2 linked regions of the Oreochromis niloticus genome follow. The protein of the gene in region 1 interacts with the protein of each later gene in a pairwise test. Links are inferred from orthologs where the notes say so. Each region holds a gene or a part of one and is shown on either strand. Other genes may lie near its edges. The genes, in order: gtpbp3 and poly [ADP-ribose] polymerase 11.

Region 1 (11,310 bases):
TAATAACACCAACGTTTCTCCCAAAAAGTTTAAAATAAAGTGCAAATTCAATAATTTCCAAATCATTTAAACCGAATATTTAAACACAACATATCAAACGTTAAAGGTTAGAAATGTCATTACTATTATTTTTTAACATAACCCAACATAAATAATCATTTTTGGCTTTAATGAAGCCGTCATCTTTCCAAAAAAAGCAGAGACGTGGAAATGTTTGCCGTGTGTGTTTATCGGATCTATAACACACTGTGAGCATATGAGGAAATGAGCAGACGCACTGCAAGAGTTTTAGGGTATAAAAAATACTGGGAACACCCAGAGCTCAGCGTCCCAGCAGACATCCCTGTGCCATCAACAGTTTCACAATCCTACACTGACTTGTTTCAAGTTATTGAAAGGTTAAAAAGATTTTCAGGAACCTTGCCCTCTGACCTTTGACCTTTTGGTCAAAGACACTGGGATTCAAACTTGTCTGACCTATCACCCCCCTGCCCCCCAATCAGCCTTTTATGGCTGAGGTGTATATAAATATATATAATGCAGCCCATTGAATACGCAGATGTGGGTCTTGCCTGTTCAGCACCCAGAGTCTGGCTGCTGGGATACGTGCAACACCCGTTTTGGCGCCCACGATTTCCAACAAACATATTTGCAAACTTTGATGCGTCCATCATCAGAGGCTTTTCCAACACCAATTTTAAAATGAATTGTGTTCACTGACAACAGTTTTCAGAAGTGCTGCGGGCTGTTTCATCAAGTGTTTTTCCCTTATTATGTCCATTAGGTGTTATCTACAGGAAAGTGCATCCTGCTGCTGTTTAGAGAGGGATGTCGCTGCCACAGAATAGACACCCAGGCCAAATTCCTTTCAGCACCAATAAAACTCATCTTATCTGAAAGTTCTGCGAGCGTTTGGCTCATCTGCAATTTTACTTGTCCTCTCAAAACAGTCCATTAAAAACTTTATTAAATTGTACGTGCGTGTTATTCATATCCAATGTACTGTGTGAGGTTAATATATTGGTTTTTTTACGCTTCACAGAAAATCCAAACAGACTTTTATTAATGCTTCAGGCTGTATATTAAAAAAAACATCTACAGAGGCCCACAGTTGTTGCATTAATGCGGGAATATCGAACAACTCAATGAAATAAAATTGCCAAAGGGGAAAATATGCAAAAGGAGAAGATGTCCCTGTTTACATTTCATGCGTATGAAATCCCCGAACAGGCCGCTATAATAACTCTAGATGCACAACAATGTGTTTTACACATTCCTCTCGACTCGCCTCCGTTAAACCGAGTTTCCCTGCTTGAAAAGCTCTCCGCGTGAACTCCCCCGCTTCGGCCGGCCTCAAGCCAGGCACGCTTCCTGAAAAACACACGTAAACACAAACACGAAGAAATGTATGAGACACGAGGTAGGCATGCATCGTGCACACAATGCACACACGGAGGACAAAACACAAGGTCAATGACTCACGTAGAGAGCAAAAACAGGCACAACTACAGGTTAAGTAGGTTATGGGTTCATTGTTTTCTCAGACACTTTGCAAATCTCATCAGGAGAGACAATAGTGAGTGCAAAACCATTTGGCAAACGTGGGTCACCGTCTCCTGATTAGAGACATTTTACCCGACTGATCTCGCCGACAATCTCAGTGTTTTTGGTTTCCAAACAAAGGCAACAATTTTATCTGAATGAACCTTGAAAACAAAGGTAATGTAATATTAAATATTCCTCCCTGCTTAGAAAAACACCTTACAGCGCATAGACTGACTCTCTGCTTTATACAATGCTGCCCCCTGGGAGGTCAACAGGAGAACTGCAGTAAAAACATCAAGCACAGAAGGATGGTCACGCTTGCCACAGCGCATATTAAAAGTATCTCAGACACGCCGATGCATGCGTCAGTTCTCTGTTTTAAGTCGCAGTGATGGATAGCCGCCTGACTCCAACAGATATCGTACTTACGGAGGCTTAGAGCTCAGGAAGCTACAAAGACTCAAACTTCAAAACGCTCTTCAAAGGGAGCGCTGCATCTCAAGTCTGCATATGTTTGCTTGTCACATTGAATTATATCAAGTTGTTGAAAACATTATACTGAGAATCGCATCTTACCAAGAGCCTGTAAGACAGCAGTAATGACTGCGGGACCTCCGTGGATATGGAACTCCACACTATCTTCTCCGGAGAAACTACGAGGAGCTGATGAAACAAACAAAGGAATAACAACACTCTGTGGGTCCTTTAGCTATTTACATAGTAAAGAGAAATGAAGTGAATAACAGGCAGGACGTGACATGCTGGAAAGATTTATTACTGGTTTTAGATAAAACACAGCAGCCCTCACTTGTGGGTTACTGACTTTAAATGTTAGTGAGAAATGATGTGGTTTTACCAAACTCTGTAATGTTGTTTAGAGAATGTGTCCCACTTTTAAAGCAGCGCACCGCTCTATTTCCACCGTTTCCAAACAATGCAGTGAAAAAACCTTATTTCACGAGTGGAAAAACATTTGAGGCAGATACTAGACTTCTCAGGCGTAGACCTTCCACCAAAGTCACTCCAAGCTCAGATCGTGCTCAGAGAAATGGGGGGAAAAAACGAAACAAAGAACTACGTCTCAGACTCTGCAGGCCTCAGTTAGCATGTTCGGTTTGCATGGCTGCATCTGAGCAAATCACAAGCCTTCTGTAGCAATGTGCTTTAGGCAGATGAGACCAAAGTGGAGAAACACAGCATCTTAGCACAAACACTTCAGCACAGTGTTGGAGTGATGAAGGTTTGGCCACAGAGTGTGGCCACTTTGCAGTCCCGGAGTCGAGCATGAACTCCTCTGTACGCTAAAGTCTTCTGGAGTCAAAAGTCTATCAAAGAGCTAAACCTTGGCCAAATTAGGTCCTGCATAAGGACAAAGATCCCGAGCACAGCAGTAAACCGACAACACAATGGCTATAAAAGAATCAAGGTGCTGCGATGGTCCAGACCTGAGCGTGACTGAGATGCTGGGACCTTAAGAGAGCTGTGGCTTAATAAATACCCACAAACATCAGTGAACTGAAGCACATTTGAAAAGAAGAGTGAGCCTACATTCCTCCACAACAATACTTCAAGCTATTGCTGCTAAATGTGGTTCTACTAGTTCCTGAATCATGGAGTGTAGTTAGTTTTTCACACACTGCTTCCTGGTACCCAGGACTCAGGAGAAACTGCTGATCCTCTCTGAGGCCTTCCCCAAACCGCAGCATCAATCAAGATCTGTGCTCACTCCATCCATCATCCTGTTTCAATAAGCACTGTTTAATCAGAACTGAGGTGTGGTCCCTGCCTGAGGAATAATGACACTGTGTAATACATCAAACGGCAATATTCATCTCAGGTTGTATTTACCTACTTTTATTACCTGCCAAACACGACATCATTTTTATATTGTGTACTGATATGTAAAACAATAACACTGGCTGAGGGAATACTTCCTTTTTTACCATAACTAAGTACGAGTCTGTCTACATATCTGGGACATGCTGATACAACTTTGGACATGAATGTAACTTATGTGCTTCTAAACAAAAACATATCCACATCCTCATATTCTCAGACAAAAAAGAGAAGAACAAAATGTAAGAACGGTCCAGTGGAACTGACCTGGGAACCACAGGACGAGCCCACGGTCCAGCACTTCTGTGGAGCGGGGGTCTGTGATGCTGCGTAACAGGGCGGTGCGTGGAGGGGGCAGACGCTGCGTGAACCCAGCCATACACCTCAGGGCCGTAGCTGAGGCGGGACCACTGACACGTACCACTGCCACCCCACACCTGCCGTGCCCGGACGACAGCGCAAAGATGGTGTCAGCATCAGCCAGTGCAGCCGGGGCTCCATCACAGGTAGAGGAGAGGAGCCTGTAGGGTGGAGCTCCACGGCTGGAAATAAGAAAATGACTGATTCATACTATAACATATTGTACATCTTGTTTTCAGTTATTATACCTCTATTGTATTATTTAAACTCAAAATCAAAGTAATAAATAAGCACTTAAATAAACAACACTGCAAGTTAAGTCAGTGTAACAACGAGCATTAAACTTGTGTGGGTAAAAGTGTGGATAAATAATGGAAAGTGCCCAAAGAAATCAATGTAACTATATTTTAACAGCACTATTTTGCTTCAGTGAATGCAGCCATAAAAATAAAGACATGAATTTGACATAGAGGCCGGGAAACAGAACAAACCTCGTCCTGACTGTGTGCACAGCAGCTCTCCATATCCCACCACACACGGACCGCAGCGGCAGCATGATTATGAGACACCAAACGTTTCATTTATTTGCTGCTTCTCATACAGACTGACACCCAACACATTATTTCCACTTTGCTTCTTTTCAGTTAACGTCGGAGTGTCTGTGAAGCTAATGTTAGCTGCCAAATCCGAACATTCAATCATTTGCGTCTTATCTTCTGTTATATTAAAGTATAATGTTCGTAATTTACAAACTCATCCCGCTCGTGATTTGTCCTTCCCATCTTTCAGTCACATTTAAGTAGCTCCTCCCACTCTTGATTCCGATTGGTTACCGTTTCTCCTAACGACAGCAGATTAAGCTCTCCCGTTTGTTCAACGCTTGTCAATCTAGCATAAGCCACGCCTATCGTACGCTGAAAATTCGGTCCGTGTGACTATTTCAAATATGATCGGTTCCGGGATCATAGGTCTGATTTTCAGCCTTTTTTGTTGTTTTATATCACGTTAAACAAATACATCCGTTTAAAAATGTAAAAATAAAATTTTGGTTATTTTATGGAAGGAATCTGTTTGACAGTAATCTTTTGTCCCCCACAAAAGTAGCGTTGCATGAAATAAAGCATGAAAATGACTCGTTGTTTAACTTGAAATTGTGTTGTGATGTTTACAAATCTTCCTCTAATATAAAGGGATTTTATGTGATTTAGGCCACAAAACGATTCATTAACACTGTCATTGGTGTACATCGATCCCTGCTGCAAATTCCAATGTTTTACTTTTTGTGTATATAACTAATATCATTATTATTGGGGCTATAAACATTTCACTTTTTATCACTACTATTTAATGTTTTACTTATGTTTACATGAACTCAAATGATTAACTCAGTGATGCACCTGCTGTCAAAGGATCTACTGTTTGTGCGATGTCCGTGCCAACATGTCTGTCACCTTTGTTTTGTGGTTAGTATATGGAAAAAAGGAGGCTGTAAAATTCAGTTCAGGACAGACCAGAGTTTGTTTTACTGCCAATTTTCTTATCAAATCACCGAAGACTGGGGGAAATACCTCTGGCACATTATGCAGAATGCACATGTTATTGAGGACACAAATTAGCAGTCAAGTTTTGGTTTTTTCAGCACAAGGTGGAAAATATCGCTTAGTGTGTGAGAATCAACAGCAGTGCAAACAGGGTTATTCTTACAGCACTACTATTTTTAATTTATTTTTAAATGATAAGTTTTACAGTATTTGTTTAGATTGCGTTCTGTGTTTATTAAAACTAACAGTGATTTGATCTGTGGTTCTTCATATACTACATAAATGCGTGCATGTAACAGAATATAAACAGAGCATCTGTTTATATTCTGTGCATCAGTGTGTGTGTGTGTGTGCGTGTGTGTGTGTGTGTGTGTGTGTGTGTGTGTGTGTGTGTGTGCGCCCCACTGCAGCGTCTTGCAGCTGTCATCCCAGAGTGGTGAGTAAGCAGAATTTGTGCTCACAGATGAGATGCTCCATACGAGGGGGCGGGCTGCCAGCCTGCCTCTGTAGCCGCACAGTGAAACACGGCCTCCAGGAGGGACGACCAAGATGATAGATTGTGTACACGGTGAAGAGGCATGGCCCGAGGCCTGGGAGCAATCTTTAACCTGGGATCTAAATAATTTATAGACTGCTCAGTGTATGCACAGAGCATGACAGCTGCCACCTCACAGCTGCAGAATACAGTCCAAACAGAGACAGTTACCTCTCAGCCCCGATTATGATTCAAGGTTATGAAATGATCTTTGTCTACAACGATAGCTGTGTTCACCTTCCTTGCACACACAAGCACTCCTAACATTTGCTTTAGCAACTCCCCCACAGGTTGAAAAAGGGGCAAACACAGTAATTAAAGACAAAGCACATATTTTACCTGCAGAGGACCATCTGACTCGCTCTGCTGTAACAACATTTATTTTGAGGGATGTGTGTCTCTTTAGGGTGGAGGACTGCTCTTTGCTCTCTTTTCAAGACAGTGTGACCATGTAAACTGGCCTTATTATAGCGATACAGTGATGGAATGACCAAGCTTATTATGCAGGAAAGCAAACATTGCACAGCTCCACGCTGTGTTTACTGTAGAGTGTTTGACTGAGAAGCGATATTACCGGTAGCCACACCCAAGTGTCACTAAAAATTGAATCCATGAAGATATTTTTTGCACAGCCTATTCAGTTTTCCGGTCATACTCAAAGAAGAGTGATAGTCTATGAAAGGATTATCAAAGGCGTGCACATTAAAAGATCATCTGAATGGGCATCTTGCCTGTAAAGTAATGTCATCACTGTGAAAACCATGCATTTTGAATGAGTTTTCCTTTAATGTAGCCATTTGGATTCTATTTTTGTCCTCGATCTGCAGCCTGCGAGGTGATAAAAATACATTTCTCTCAGAGATGGAGGAACCGCTACTACATGCATGCATAGATTTTTAAATTCCTACAGTGTGCGTGGTGCGGCTTTGTTACATTTAACAGTTTTGCTAATGCAACCTGAGACAACAATCAGTCGCTAAATCAGTCATCGACCGTGAAGGTGCATGTGTGTCACACAGCCCCCTCCATCCATCCCTCCCTTCCTCCCTCCCTCTCTTTGTCCCTCCTCCTGTAGTGGTTGGAGGAGCGCTCTCCATCTAACCGCGCATCCTGCTCCAGAGTACCACCAGGATGATCCGCCGCTGCGCCAACGCCGACAACCTTCACTTCACTTTCATTCTCATTTAACCCCCACTCTGACCCCCCACCGGCCCCTACGCTACACCCATGCTTTGCCCTCCTCTTGAGATGCGACACCGCTGCACGATTTCCCGGAGAATACCTTCATCCTCAGTCGCTCCTCGCTGATAGAGAGCATGCCCGACACGGGGACGGCAGCGGCGGGCGCTGCTGCAGCCGGGGCGGCCGCCGGTGGCGCGACCACCTCCGGGGACGGCCCCGAGAGCTCCCGGCACCGACACCGAGCGCCGCAAGGAGACGCAGAGAGGCCGGATCCGGGCTCGGCTCCGCCACAGACCTCCTCCGGCGTGCTGGGTGAGTGAGAGGAGGCGGAGGGAAGGACAGGTGAACGCGACGCTGTTGGAAAACGAGACAAGAGGCGCACTGCCGTCGCGCACCTCGCGGTGGCACGGTTCTTTTGTCTCCACGAGGGCGTCCCAAAATCAACACCTGGTCAGGCAGCAGGCCTGTAAACGATGGCTCTGACTTGCATTTCGTGCTGTTTCCAAAAATCACTGATGTGATAAAAGGTGTTCAGGAAAAATGGCCACTTTGGCACATCCGAGTTATGACCTTCTGGTCGGTTATTGTTTGTTTAGCCCATTAGCCTGCCTCCTGTTATGAGCCCATTTGTTCCCTCTGGGCAGCTGTTGTTGTCCATACTGTCCTCACATGCGGCCTTGATTGGCTGATAGTTAGCCTATTTTTATTTAAGGGGGTCCTCTCTTGTCAAGGTTTAAGGTTGTTTACCTTCGAGATCACTTTACTCGGCATTTCCGAACTATTGCAGGTGGACCGCACTATTGCACACAGCGTCGCGCACCGTTATTTCCTCAGTGCCAGTTTCCATGCTATTGGACAGACTCGAGGACAGGTGCCTGTTTAATCTGCTTTAAGATCGTAGTGTTTGCTTTTTTCTTGGTTCACACCTCCTCACATTTAATTGTATTTTGGTCTCCGGTGCTGTTCTTGTATTGGAGGCTGCAAGAAAATAAAAATCATAAAATCGACTTTTCCCTCCTTTTTATTTACAAAGGATAAACAGAATCAACCTGCTTCATGTTAATACTCCGTGCCTCTGACAGTGGATTTGAACAGCCCATATCTTAGTTGTCTCTTTGCAAGATTTACAAGTGAGGCTATTTTTGGATCAGACCACAATATTAGCTGGGACAGGGAGCCTCAGCTGCCAAGGCAGGATTGTTTTCCTGCATGCGGGGTGCAGAGACAGCCTCCGTGCCTCCTGTGAGTACTGCTGCAGAGTGATGCAGTGGAGCAGTGGGCTGTCAGCAGATGAGACCTTCTTTCCACTCTTGGTCGAGGTAACCTGAGCAGGCAGCTGCCGAATGGAAGAGCAACCTGTCATCCAGTTGAGAGGGTGGCACCCAGTGGTCCTTGAATGGGTTACAGGCTGTTGGAGGGCCGGTGAAATGGAGATGAGTTCAACTTTACGGTGGTTCGACAAGCTAGAGGCAGTGCCGGGGCAAAGAGAAGAGACTAGGGCTTTAACTAGAGGCCGTCTACAAACATGTGTGGGACAAATCTAAATAGTATCAAGTATGCAGAGCTGTACAGAAAGCTAGCATTGAATGCTTGATCAGACTTCTAACACTGTGTTGTTAATCTTCAGATCAGTCAGAGGAATCACAGTTTTATTCAGATGTTGGTTTTGTTTGACTCTATATGTTTATTAAGTTTAATAAGAGAAGAAATGAGATTATAGAAAGTCCCCGTGCTTCCCACAGTGCAGGGACAGTAACTAAAAGAGGTTTTATATTAGCTGTACGCCAGACATAATGCTTCCAAAGGTTTCTGTGACATAGGCTCGGAGATGTTTATTGTTCTCATCTGTGCTCGAGAATCTTATGTGTAGAAATAAACATCAACATGTGTGGCAGGTGGTGAGGTGGTTAGCACTGTTGCCTCACTTAAGAAGGTGCTGGGTTTGAATCCAGGTTTGTTTGGTTTTGTTTGCACATTCTCCCCCATCGGCTCTCTCTGGGTACTCCAGCACAAACAGGGGGATTGGTGAATCTCAGTACGTGAGCATGGATGGTTTTCTGCCTCTGACAGATTGGTGACCTGTCCAGCGAGCTGGAATAGGCTCTGGCTCCTGGCCCATCCTCTTCAAGCCTGAATTAAATAAGCATAAGAACATAGATGGATGGTTAAACTTCAAAACCATCTACAGTGTGGGAATCTACATGAAAACAGATACTTTAGTGTAATAGTTTCCCCAGCATTACAGAAACATGCATGTAGAGAAGCAAATAGTGGGAAATGTGAGGATTTTCACAGCACATCTGGCTCTACTATTACACCTGCAGTCGTTCAGTGAATGAAGACTGTTTCACAGATAGCAGCGATGATGAAATGATGCAGTGACGTTTCCATGAAGCAGTTCTTAAAGGGGTAGTTCACCACGAAATCCAATGTTTTTCCTCTGAGCTGTGCTGCTGTGAGCTCCCAGTGTTGGAGTTATCAGACATGTGTGCTTTCCCTTAAATATGATGGAGCCATATTCGAGAATGTGAACTGTATCGCCGTGCAGAAGCAAGAGTGCCTTCACCCGTGACGAGAGGCTCGCGCTCATGGCAGTGTGACACGATGTAAACATTAATGCTGTTCCCCTAAGCTGAGCTTAAATTTGAGCTGCAAGCTTCCATCGGCTGTTAGGTGAGAGAAAATAGTTCCTACGTAAAGGTTTGTGTATTGTTTTTGAGTAACTGGGTCAGGATTTCTGAAAAGAGACACTGCTGCAGAGTTTCAAATGTATTTTTCTGCAGATTTGCCATTTTGTTCTCCTATTTTTATATAAAAGTTGAAATAACTATAAGATTTTGGAGTGACCTGCCCCATTTACTTATAATAAATACTTGTTAATTACATAAACAAAGGGAAAACCATGCAGCCAATAGCTCAGGGGTGTCCAGCTCCAGGCCTCGAGGGCCGGTGTCCTGCAGGTTTTAGATGTGTCCTTGATCCAACACAGCTGATTTAAATGGCTGAATTACCTCATCAACATGTCCTGAAGTTCTCCAGAGGCCTGGTAACGAACTAATCATGTGATTCAGGTGTGCTGACCCAGGGTGAGATCTAAAACCTGCAGGACACCGGCCCTCGAAGCCTGGAGTTGGACACCCCTGCAACAGCTACTGTGTTTTTAGGGAATCAGCTACATTTTTTGTCCTAACCTTCTCCTTTAGTTTGGTCACTGTCATGCATAAACAACATGCATGCTTACTAAACTCATAATCACCCACATCTGTCACAAACTATGAAATAAAAACAACAACCCGCTATCCAGCTATCAGTAGTTACTGCAGCAGTGACTGTAACTCCTTCCTGTGTCTGTTCTCCTGCATGGGTTATGAAAAAGAGGCTCTGGGACTTCAGTGGCATTACTACGATATCACATAACGCCCCCGCACGTGTCAGTGTCAGTCAGCGAGCAAAGCACAAGGGCAGGGTGACTTCTTCGTGCAGCTGAGGTCTTGGTTGCGCTCTGGAACCGAAAGGCTCGGATGCTCCATTGTCTCCGTGCCTCCACCGTATTTTGCTAATCTCTCCCACCGCAGTAGTCTGGCATGACTTTGATCCTCGCAGCCATCCTCCTTTGTAGCCTCAAAACTCAAAAGCCCGCGTTTCAAGGATTAATTAGGCCCCAACGTTAACGCCTCACCAATTAGTTTGTGTTCCCTCTGAGGCCAGTGTTGATAAGATTTGTTATGGAAATTAGGCCATGCAATTTGTGGTTTAGGATTAAGGACACGTATGCGCTGAGGTTATTCCTGCACTGATAATGGTTCACTTTTTTCATGGTGCTGTTAAAAGCTTCTTTTGACCCCAAACACCAGTTAGTGGATTGTAAATGTGGAAGGTTTTTTTTTTATAAACTAGCCCAGAATTTGGGAATAAAGATAAATGTAACTTTGTGATGACAGGAAAACCCGTGTGATCATTTATCTGATGTAAAATCGAAATACATTTGACAGTAAGTTCACAGGTGATAGTCCGAAACCATTCTTGGACCCCTGCTTTATCTGAAACTCTAGTCTGATCCAGTGGGGAGACTGGAGCGGCCCATTTCTATCCCTGTAAACTTGTCTGGCCTCGTCCTCATGAGAACAACATATTAAGCAGTCAGCCGTACACTCTATGCCAGAGCGCCGCTCTCGCTGTATCTCCGGCTCTCTCTCGCCTCTTCAGCGAGTTGAATGCCTCAGCTTTACCTCAGACAGATTTAGTCAGGTTGAGTGTCACACAGGTTGCTTTAAATACAGCAGCGTGAGGGGAAAGCATCCCACTGAACTT
Region 2 (11,290 bases), about 10 Mb from region 1:
TCTTCCTTAGAGGAGTACCAAGGAATGACAACATAAAACAAATAATGACTTTGATACTGCATGACTGTACAAAGTTTGATCAGTGAAAAGTTCAGCAACTTTTCCCATGAAGAGCAAAATTTTAATTTTGCCCCATCTATGAAATTCAGGATTTTCACCTTGTGCACCTCTAGATCACTTCCAGTACTGCTGCTATTTTTAGATCATTTCCTGAAAGGCCTGCTTGGACCACTTGCACACAGTACAGAAAGCAAACTTCAACTAAATTCACACGCATTAAACAGTTTGGAAATGGCTGTGGGCTGTCAGCTGTGAAGATGAATACCTTGTACCAATGCCCCTAGTCTCTAGCACTTGTGGCTCAGGTGGTAGAGCGCATTGTCTACTGACTTGGAAGGCCAGTTGGTTGATCCTTGACTCCTACAGTTTGCATGGTGAATTATCTTCGGGCAAGATACCGAACCCCGAGTTGACCCTGATACATCTGTCGCAATGTGAATGTGAGAAAGGGCTTAGGTATAGATAAAAGCGGCATATGAATGTATGTGTGAACGACACTTGTAATACAAAGTGCTTTAAGTACTATTTTAAGCAGAAAGGCGCAATATAAGTACCATTAAAACAATAACAATAATAGAAACTGACCTATGTGGTTAGGAAAAGACTTTTTTGACATTTGGAAGATGTTTCTGGAGCTATTAAAGACTGGGGACATTGAGGAACTGGAGAGAGAGAGTGAAGTAATGAAAATATGCAACTACATTTGGGAATGTATACAGTATAGACTATCCTGTACTTTTTTTTGTATTTTATTTTATATTTTTTTAAATTTCCTTTAGTATTATTAATATTATTTTTATTATTATTATTATTATTATTTTTTAATTTGTTTTTTGAATGTCTTGTGTTCTTAGTGCTTTCTTACTGCCATGTGTTCAAGGTGTTAAAAGTGTTGGATGTTTATGAATACAAAATTCAATAAATATGTTTACAATAAGAACAATAATAATAACAACAGTACAGTAATTTATTGTGTGTTGACATGTTAGGATGTGCTAGCAAGTGAAAAAAAACCTGAAAACAGCTTTTGTTTCTGACCCAGTCACCTTGCACTATATTCACCTCGTGGGGAATACAGGTAAGCTTGATCTAACAATGTATAGAAAATATGTACAAACGTGGGCTTCGAAGTGGATAAGGTTCCGGTTCCACTGAATGGTTATTATCAAACAGAAAAAAAAGAGTCCTCTGCCTTTTCAGAAGGCCGGAATGAGCAGCCAGCTCAGAAACTTCCCAATCACAAAGCGTTTTCATCATCATCATCATCATCATCATCATCATCATTTATTTATATAGCACTTTAAAAACACACCTGGTAGACCAAAGTGCTGTACAATACTAATATGCACATAGTAATAAAAAAATAAATAAATAAAAATAAGAGGTATATGTATAAACTGACGCCTTTTAGTGAATTAATTTGTTCAACCACATAAACTTACAAGTGCATTGTGAATTCGTCCCACGGGGTCAAACTGGCATTACATTTCTGGGACATTTTTGAGAAAAAATTTGGCACAAACACCCTGAACTGTAGCAGTTGCCAACATGCCACTGCATGCCCACACAGCCAGCACTGTAAAGGCAGGAGTTTTACTTCCTTTGCCCTATTCAACAGACTTTGTTTTCCTTTATAAAATGAAAATTAAATTACATTCAAGTTGAAGAGATGCCTTTTTGACACAGTGCAGGTGATCCAGTGTGAATTACAGATGCATACTGGAAATTTCCACGAAGCGATCTAGAAGTAGCACAAGTGCACATTGTGCACAGGAGACGAGCTTGAAGAAGACGTCGGCTAAAAGGGGTGGATTCATGGAATTCAGTTCAATTCTTTAATTTATGCTAAGAAAAAAGCCAGCATCTTTAATGGAAATTTGGGAAAACTAGAATTTACATTTTTCCCAGTGTCACTAATGGAATGCAATGAAGTATAATTAAGGCAGTACGTACAATGAAACATTTTTCCTCACAAAAATGTAGAAAATAATATTCTACCTGCAGAAGAACTCCCATAAATCCAGGTTCTGGATCCTCTGGATGGATTTAATTGGATGATCCATTGTTCTTTCATACAGTCTGGCTACTTCTTTAAATTCATATGTGTCTCTGCCAAGCTGGATGAGCTGCAAAGGCAAGAAACACTCACATAACTCTACCTTTTTCTGCAGTGTGTTTCAAATATAGATATATATCTATATATATATTTTCCTCTTTTTCTCTCTCATTTGCAAATGTTTGACCTCAGGCTGAACAAAGTTGGGAACTTCTGGACTGACAAAACACTGCATACAATCACATGCACACCCTTCTAAATGTTTTGACCAGTCTGCACTGTTTTTGTAAGAACCCCAAGTCCATGTCTTTGATTTTTGAAAATAAAGCATAACGAAGTGTAAGAGTCTCAGTGCTTCTGTAGCAACTGCATAACCTTTTATTCCATGTTTGTCACTATTTTTACATCAGAAATCAGAAGAACATAAAGGTATCATCTCAATACTAAAAATGTGTGAACCAAGCTAAGAGGAACAATAATATGTGTTTCCGTACTTCTGTACTCACCTGATAGGGCTCATCTGTGTTTATTCTCTCCCAGTGACAGGGAACAGGCAAAGCGAGATTATCACAAATAAACCTGAGAGGATCAACAAAGGAGAAGAGTCAGTAAACAAATCACTGCATCAGAATGAGAATGGATGTGTTTGCTTTATGCTCAGACACAAAAATAATTCAACGCTTGCAAAAAAAAGAAAAAAGAAAAAAAGGGGGGCAAAAGGCAATTGTTCTCTTTTCTTTTGTTAATTTCATTTCCAGGATTTTAAGGACAAGAGATGCTTGACCCCTAAACTTCCATTTAATACATGGTCTTCTTAAACCCCTTTAACATAACTTTTCCGTGATAGCAAGTAAATAAAACCAAAATATAAAAAGGCTCTCTGGATGTACACTCAAACCATCAAATCTTACCTAAATCCAGTTGCAGAGTGGAGGGAGCGTTTGATCGGCCGTTGCTTTCCTGTTGTTACATTTATCTGTCGCATAACTGTTTGGGGATTTAATGACAATTAAGTGTTCATGTGCAATTTCTTTAACAAAATAAACAACAGAAAAACTAACTCATCCTCAGTATAGAACTGATGTGACGTGATTTCCTTTAAAGAAGCTTTAACACTCTCAGCCTGGATAAAGTACCTTTAGAATTACTTTAATTAACTCATGAGTTTGCACCTGAGAAGTCCAGTCTGTATGTGTACTTGGCTGTGTAAAACTCCATCACACCACGCTGGTTCCTGTTGTAGCACTGCTCAATCTGAGCGCTGGTCACAGAGCAGGCTGCACTGGGATCAATCTGACAGGGAAATAAAAGGAAAATAAGAGTTAACCAGCCAATCAGTTAATTAACACTTAGTTAAGAGACTTGATTCTTTATTTAGGTCAAAGGCTTAAAATTTATCTGAAAAAACATCAATTTTTTGGTTTGACTTAAAGCTCATCTTATAAATCGACACTTATATATTTGGTGGTTTGAGCTACTGGTGGGATAAATAAGACAGCTGAGTGTAACTCGCTGTCAGAAACTGATAAACCAGGAAAACACATTTTAAATGTGTTCATGGATTTTTGATGCATCATTGTTAAATTCCTTTTAATTGCAGTTTAACACATAACCTAAGTAGTGTTTGGAAATGAGAATGGCAGTTTGCTGGCACATGATGGCCATTTTTGTGCCTCCCTATAATCAACCCAAGGCAATGTTTTGTTTTTTTTCCCTTTCTTTTTCCTATAAATGTATTGATGATGAGCTAAAGGGGGGAATAAAAACCTGCAGAGTCTGGCAAAATACGACCAAAGGAGGGGCGATATGCTGGGCATACAGAGTAAAGCCAGTTACAAAGTCTGCTATTGTGTATAAAGTTGTGGTATCATGTGAACTACCTCAAACATATGCCACACTCCACACTCAGCCAAGTAGAACCAGCACCAGTTGGGCTCTGAGGTGTCCATCTCCTCAATCTCAGTGGACTCCTCCTCTGACGATCTGATGGCTAACATAGCTAAATCTGAAATTAATAAGTGAAAACACGCCAACACACTTAGGCAAATAGCAACTAAAATACAAGAAAGTATGGGGGAGGGCCTAAGGTGGTGTTTTGGTCGTCAGACAGTCCTGACGTTGAGGACTTGTTTTTAGCAACGGTCGTGAGAGCATTACATCCTGTAAACAATTTCATACAATACAGGAAACTGCCATGTTGAACTAAGCTATCATTAGCGGATGCCGCACCCGACTCATCTCAACTCTACTGGTGTCTTACCAGTTTTCAGCCTGCCTCTGTCCTTATCGGAAAACAAAGCCTTCATACATGATCAACAAAGCCTCAGAAAAATCACAGGTTCCGTCTAAGCTTGGGGGACTGACGAAAACCATTTTCGTTATCCTAGGCGTTGTTTACTTTTATTTCCCCGTTCGTCATACACTCCACGTCAAAGCGTAGACGTCATGTAACTCCTCCCTCCTTGACAACGGGACACTGTTTCCCGGAGTTTGTCCTGACAGGCGCACTACCGGTGCAATACTGTGCAATGTGATACGGCTCAGGTGTTTTAAAGTTACAGACGCGGTAAAATAAATAAATAAATAAAATAAATTAAGAGGAATGTATGGAAACTTACTTACTAAAGTCATTACCCCCCCTCCCTAAAAAAAATAAAACAAAAATAAAAAAATCGAAACGTCGCTGTAATAATCTAAAAATCGGGGGTAATAATTAGCTCAACCTGTCATTTTTGACTTATTTGTTTTTCAGTGCAGTCAATAAAACAAATAAATTGGGTATTAGGTAAGCTAAATAATGACGGCAATTATTATTTTTGCCATGTATACTCAAACCATCAAAGCATTATTTTTTCTTGGCACCTGATTGTCTCGTACACTACAGAACCAATTTATAATTAATACTTTTCAAACATTAGCACCCTTGTTATCATTTCGGACTGTGCTTGTTCGCTTAGCTCATGTAGCCTATTAAAACGCTGACATGTTTTTTTTAGTGTATTACACATCACTGTGTAGATGGCACAGATGACAAAAGAAACTGTTCATAAAAACCAGAGGAATGAATAATACATACATATATTTCGTATTTTTCTTCTACTCAAGCTGCATATTCAAAGTCCGGCATTATTAACTTTACTGTTTGACTAGCAGTTATGTACAGACGATAACACAGACAACATAACAACAACGCATACGTACATGCAACGTACAACCAGCTACTACACATATATATATGGTGGAAGAATTTGCATGTTATAAAATTAATTCCTAAAAGCTGTGTCGATGTTGATAATCATGGTACCCTAGGCAGTTTATAGCAGCATAATTAAGGCCGCTAGAAGTTAGGGTCCAAACATACATAGCTTACGCTAATATCATTATTCTACGATAATACACAATCGTGCATAATTTTATTCCATCTGACGACAATAAGTGCAATTTCTGCAATTACTTGTGCATAACACACTGCACTGAGATGGCTTTTGTGTGCATGTTGTTGAGACGTTTGAGTAAAATCCACGAGCATTTTCGTAGGGATGGCACATCCAGAGCGTGTGTGGCTACTTGTCCTTCAGGACACACCCCTCAATAGAATGAAACTTTTCTGCAAACTTCGCTCATACAGTCGAGGAATTTCACTGTGGCGCTCGCTGCAAGCTCACTGGTAAGTTGCATCAATTCAAATCTCCATGTGAAACTGGAGGAAACAATTAAATGCTATTTTTGTGCCTTTATCTCTTTAGTAAGCTTTATTAGGGCGAATGTGAGGCTCATCAGTTAAATTACAACGCTCATGATTTATAATTGCATGCATGCAAGAACGAGCTGGGGGAGAATATAACAGGTATGCCATGATATTTATTTAAATGCTGTACAAAAGACAGAAAGACCATGACTGAGGAAACAACCGGGAATGTTCCTGCTGCAGACTCTGAGGCAGATAAACAGGCTCCTGAGGAAGGGGCTCTGTCGAGGGAAAAATGGGCCAACAACATGGAGTTCATACTCTCTATGGCTGGTGAAATAATTGGCCTCGGAAATGTTTGGCGGTTCCCCTACCTGTGCTTCAAGAACGGAGGAGGTGAGAGGTTGGGTTTGTGGGAGAGTTTTTCTGATGGAAACATTCAACTAATAGATAAGGATTAGGAGGGCCTTCATTAAAAAACAAAAAACGAAACAAAACAAAAAAAGAAACCCACTTGCTGATGAAATAGTTTGTGTCTATAATTTTAGGTGTCTTCCTCATCCCCTACTGCGTGTTCCTCTTCTTCTGTGGCATCCCCGTGTTTTTCTTGGAGACAGCGCTGGGACAGTACACCAGTGAGGGTGGGGTGACTGCCTGGAGGAAAATATGTCCCATGTTTCAGGGTAAAAATAAGGCTCACATTTAGGAACTGCATATTTCTGACAGCGCTTTCTTCATGGAAATTGCAAAAACAATAGTGTAGCAGTTAGCAGTAAAGAAAGTCACATATACAAGGCTAAGTCTATATTTCCAAGCTTCAGATCCAGTAGCTGACTAAGGTGTTATCTAACTTAATTACATAAAACAGAGGATTTATTGACCGTGCATGGTGCTGGGAATTGCTTTTGTATAATGTTTCTGTCTTCTTGTCATAAAAGAAAAGAAGACAGCAGCCAAAAATGTCCTTTAACTGTCTGAAATGTCACTTGTCCTCTAGGGGTGGGGTTTGCGTCCCAAGTGATTGTGATCTATCTGAACATATACTACATTATTGTTTTGGCATGGGCTATCTTCTACCTAATAAACTCCTTCAAAAGTCCCCTGCCCTGGTCTACATGTGACAACTGGTGGAACTCTGGTAAGAATGCTTGCTTAAACCCATCTGTATTTGATAAGCAGGGATTTTTTTTTCAAGACTTAAGAGAAAACAGCTAACATTCTCACTTTTATCCCTCTTTCTTTAATCGCTGAGACTTGTGCCACAGTCGCATGAGCATCTTTGCAAACCCCCAACTCTTTCAGGCCGGGTCCAACTGGTCATTCTTACACAACGTCACCTCAATGGACTACTATGAGAATACAACTTAGTAAGTTGCAATTTGTTTTTCTGAGTTGTACAAATTAACTGTCCCCACTCTGTCTGCTCAACTGAAATTTTTTTATGTGGACTTGAAAAGAGTCTGACTATGAAAAGCTTAATAGTAATCATGGGATTAAACAGCACAATAGCATCTCTGGAACGCACCCATGCTTTACAGTAACATCTGGAAAGCATTCATGGCACTTGCTCCACGTTTTGTTATGTTACAGCCTTATTCCAAAAAGGAGTAAAGTCATGTTTTACATCAAAATGCTACACACGACACCCCATAATAAAAAAATGAAAAAAGTTTGCTTGAAATTCTTACAAATTTATCAAAACAACCTGCAGCTCTTTGTTGCATGACTTCCCTTCTCTCTCCCCACTGTCCTGTCTATCTTCACTGCTCCACAGTCCAAAAAAGGTAAAAATGCCTATTTTTTTATATGTCATGGCATTTAAAAAAAAAAGTTTTTAACAAATTTGCAAGAATTACAAGCAAACTGCTTTCACTTTGCAATTATGAGGTATTGTGTTTAGCATTTTAAAGTGAAAAAAATAATTGAATTCATTTTGGAATAAGGCTGTACCATAATTAAATGAAGGACAAGCGAAGCACTGTGAATACTTTCCAGATGTACTGTAAATGTTTTTCAGGGTAGGAAATGCTTACTTTCTCCTACCTTGGGATAATATAAGGATAACATGACGGTGAAAAGCAACCCAATAAATCTAAAGGACTTGTCAAGCTTTAGTTTAATGTCAAATGTTTGAAAGGTGCCACATTTAAGGTATATTTAATGCAATGTCTTCTCTACATTATTATAAGCACTGCTTTGGATATCCCTTTACTCCTCTTTGATTGGACATTTTTGTGATATTTCTTACTAAAGTGGACCTATTTTTCCTTATTTTCTGACACATAGACCTCACTGATGCCTCATCACTTACACCTGTTTAAATGGTCATTAATGTAATTATATAACAGACCAGTCACATGACAGGAACTGTCACTGGACATCTACAGCAGTTATCTCTTGTTGATGCTAGAGGCTATAAGAGAATGGCCAAGCTGCTTTGAGCTGACAGCAAGGCAATGGTAACACTGTTACTTGTTACATCCAAAGTGTGCAGAAGAACATCTTTGAACAGACAACACATTGAACTTAAAGCACATGTGCTACAGTTGCATAAGACCACACAGGGTGCCACTCCTGTCAGCTGAGAACAGGAAATGGAGGTTACAATTTGCACAGGCTTGCCAAATTTGGTGAGCCTGTGCAGGCTATTGTTGGTGGCATAACTTGATATTTTCTTGGCACACTTGGGAGCCCTTGGTACCATCTGAGCATCAGTTAAATGCCACAGCCTTACTGAGTATTGATTGTTGACAATGTTCATCCCTTTGTAACCATAGTGTACCCATCTTCAGATGGCCGCCTCCATCAGAATAACACACCATGTCACAAAGCTCAGATTTTCCTAAACTGGGTTCTTGAAGATGCCAGTGAGTTCACTGTACTTGAATGGGCTCCACAGTCACCAGATCTCAATGCAGTAGTGCACAAAAACTCACTTCACCCTTTAAAGCCTGTTAAGATCCCAGTTACCTCTGTACAGAAGTCTGGACTGGGTCTCCATTGAAAGGGTCTGAGTGTCTGATCCTAGGGGTAGTACCACAATAGTTTAGATGATGCACCACACTACCAACCCTGAATAAGGTACAATCAGTTTTGCGAGCAAATTTGCTACAAAATTTACTTTGGTGACTTGGACAGGTGGGCCCAGGGATCTGTTAATTCTTAAAGGCTAGAATAACCTATAAGAACCTCACAAAAGTAGATGTTCAAACTCATACCCAAGTTTTACCTTTTCATTTAAAAAGAAAATCAAAAAGGGAATGTCCACATAATTAAGTTTAATTTCAGATGGGATACTTTACTAAGCAATTTAACAAGGGCAAAGCAATCAGCTCATCAATTATTAAGAATAAAATCCTTTTAAATTTTAAACATTTCAAGAAAAGTAACACATTTTAAAATATAAAACAATGAAATCTAAACTGTTGCTAATAACTCATTACCAGTTTTGATGAGGCTTTAGTGGAGGACAGAGAGAACACCCTGGCTGTAGAGGAATTGTTTCAGAAATTCTTTCTGAGGAGGTAGAACCCATTACAATGTTCCCAAAACTTCCTCTAAGTCCCAATCTATGATTCCGGTAGTAAGCAGAGCAAATCTCAAAAATAGTGAATCCATAGTGGGTTGGAAAAAGAAGGATAAATCCACTGAGTTGTCTTCTAATCTGCTCACTTCAACGATGGCCAGAGGAAAAAACGCCTAATCGTTATCTATAGAGGGTTTTTATACATCCTCTGAGACAACCAACATCCCACGTTAACAACCAACCACCTGGTGTGATGTGCAATCACCCGATTTGAGACATATCAGACAACAGACAATTATTTAGGCTGGGTCCTTAGATGCACACACAGAGGTCAAGGCCACATCTGCACAGAAAGAGTGCGTGCGCACACACACACACGCACATGCAGAAACAGTGTGGGTTGAAAAGTTTAAACATTAGAATTATTACATTTTAATAATTATATTCTTAGTTTTTGATTAGATTTCCGATTACAGCAAGAATAACTCAAACATTTTGTTTGTTTGTTAGGATGAAGTAAAGGCCTTTAACAAGTCCCATTATGATAAATATGGATTATTTCAAACTGCGAATCAGGCAAAGCTACTCTAGTAGAGTTGAACAATAAAAATCTGAAGCCAAAAATGAGTACATAAGATCCACTTAAAATTAAAAACACATTTACTATGAAAATAAACGTGTTTGTGGTCTTTATGAAACTGTTAGATTGTTAAAGGACTATTTGAAATTAGTGTTTAATTTCACCCCTCCTTATACACTTGTTTTTTTTTTCTTTCCAGCAATGAAACAATATTGATGAGCACGTCACCAGAAGAGGAGTTCTGGAGGTTAGAAACTCACTCATTGCTTTATTTTCCTTGAACATTAGAAGAGCTGGACAGTCACCCTCCCTATTTAGCTTGTCTTTGGGTGGAAAATTCCTCAGCAATAGCTTTCAATGCTTCCCAGATATCAAAAGATAATTGTAAGTTAGAAAACACGGTGTGAATAGTGAGCCAACAGAAGGTGAACCGAGGCCACCCAAATAAAGCAAGCAGCCAGTTACATTCCTAAAAAGACATAATAGCACTGAATAATAGCATTTTTATTGAACTTCCAACTCTCATTCAAAGTTGTTTGCTCCTCTCTCTTTTAGACATGTTGAAACATGGCTGTCTCTTTTCACATGATAACCTCCTGATTTTGTGTGAGAACAAATATTGGGAAATCGCTCAGCACTACAACTGTGCTCCATAATGAAAACAATATGTGCTCTTTGCTGTGCCCATTTATAATGTAAACCGTATCCATCCAAAATAAACAGGGAGCAGTTTCAACATCTGTATTCATGTTGAGATGCTTAGTGCTGTTCTTTTGACGTATATATGAGGATCTGTTTATTTGCAGTGGGAGAAGATTTTAAGAATGGGGGTTTTAGGGAGCATTCATCAGCATTTGGAGAGCATGCATGTGTTCATGTGTTCTTACATGTCTCTTTTTTTCATAGTAACCGTGTGTTAAGAATATCAGAAAACATGTCTTTGGGTAAGATACATTGGGATCTGGCTCTGTGTCTTATGTTTGCCTGGATCATATGTTACTTCTGCATCTGGAAGGGAATCAAAACAACTGGAAAGGTAAGCATTTCCTTAACGTGGAGGATATCAGCTGTTAAAGCTGTCCCTGTTAAAGCTTTATAATGGTGTGCAAAGCGATGTGTTACATTTTTCTCGTTTGGTCGGTGGGTAAGAAGGGATTCTCAGTCTGCAAAAACATGTAGCTTATAAACCCTTCCCTATTAAAAAGGCAGCACAAGCTGTCAGTCAGCACTTTTAGCTTGCTTGTGTGATATCTGAGTATTTGTGACTGTTATCTTAATATTAACCAGGAAATATGTATTTGATGTGCTGTAGAGACAGATATTACCCCCACTCTTCTAACAGCATTTTACTCTATGCTTCAGCTCTCTTTTTACAGACCC

Evidence for each region.
Region 2: the proteins of gtpbp3 (region 1) and poly [ADP-ribose] polymerase 11 interact in binary tests that used the Homo sapiens proteins (3 or more experiments, as listed by UniProt). The two-hybrid records come from large-scale screens. The link is inferred for Oreochromis niloticus from reciprocal best matches to the Homo sapiens genes GTPBP3 and PARP11.

Annotation. Positions count from the first base shown.
Region 1 is NC_031981.2:1,939,058-1,950,367, reverse strand, and holds the start of gtpbp3 (5-taurinomethyluridine-[tRNA] synthase subunit GTPB3, mitochondrial), read right to left. Parts: upstream 5,395-11,310; 5' UTR 4,298-5,394; coding exon 4,233-4,297; intron 3,924-4,232; coding exon 3,649-3,923; intron 2,209-3,648; coding exon 2,122-2,208; intron 1,372-2,121; coding exon 1,289-1,371; intron 1-1,288. Other genes in the region: ano8b (anoctamin-8), read left to right, coding at 7,134-7,311. UniProt on the Homo sapiens protein: GTPase component of the GTPBP3-MTO1 complex that catalyzes the 5-taurinomethyluridine (taum(5)U) modification at the 34th wobble position (U34) of mitochondrial tRNAs (mt-tRNAs), which plays a role in mt-tRNA decoding and mitochondrial translation.
Region 2 is NC_031981.2:12,135,139-12,146,428, reverse strand, and holds the start of poly [ADP-ribose] polymerase 11, read right to left. Parts: upstream 4,569-11,290; 5' UTR 4,423-4,568; coding exon 4,377-4,422; intron 4,122-4,376; coding exon 3,997-4,121; intron 3,410-3,996; coding exon 3,289-3,409; intron 3,104-3,288; coding exon 3,028-3,103; intron 2,696-3,027; coding exon 2,623-2,695; intron 2,187-2,622; coding exon 2,059-2,186; intron 6-2,058; coding exon 1-5. Other genes in the region: sodium- and chloride-dependent GABA transporter 2, read left to right, coding at 6,011-6,200, 6,353-6,487, 6,802-6,942, 7,057-7,171, 10,110-10,157, 10,817-10,946. UniProt on the Homo sapiens protein: Mono-ADP-ribosyltransferase that mediates mono-ADP-ribosylation of target proteins. Plays a role in nuclear envelope stability and nuclear remodeling during spermiogenesis. Inhibits the type I interferon activated signaling pathway.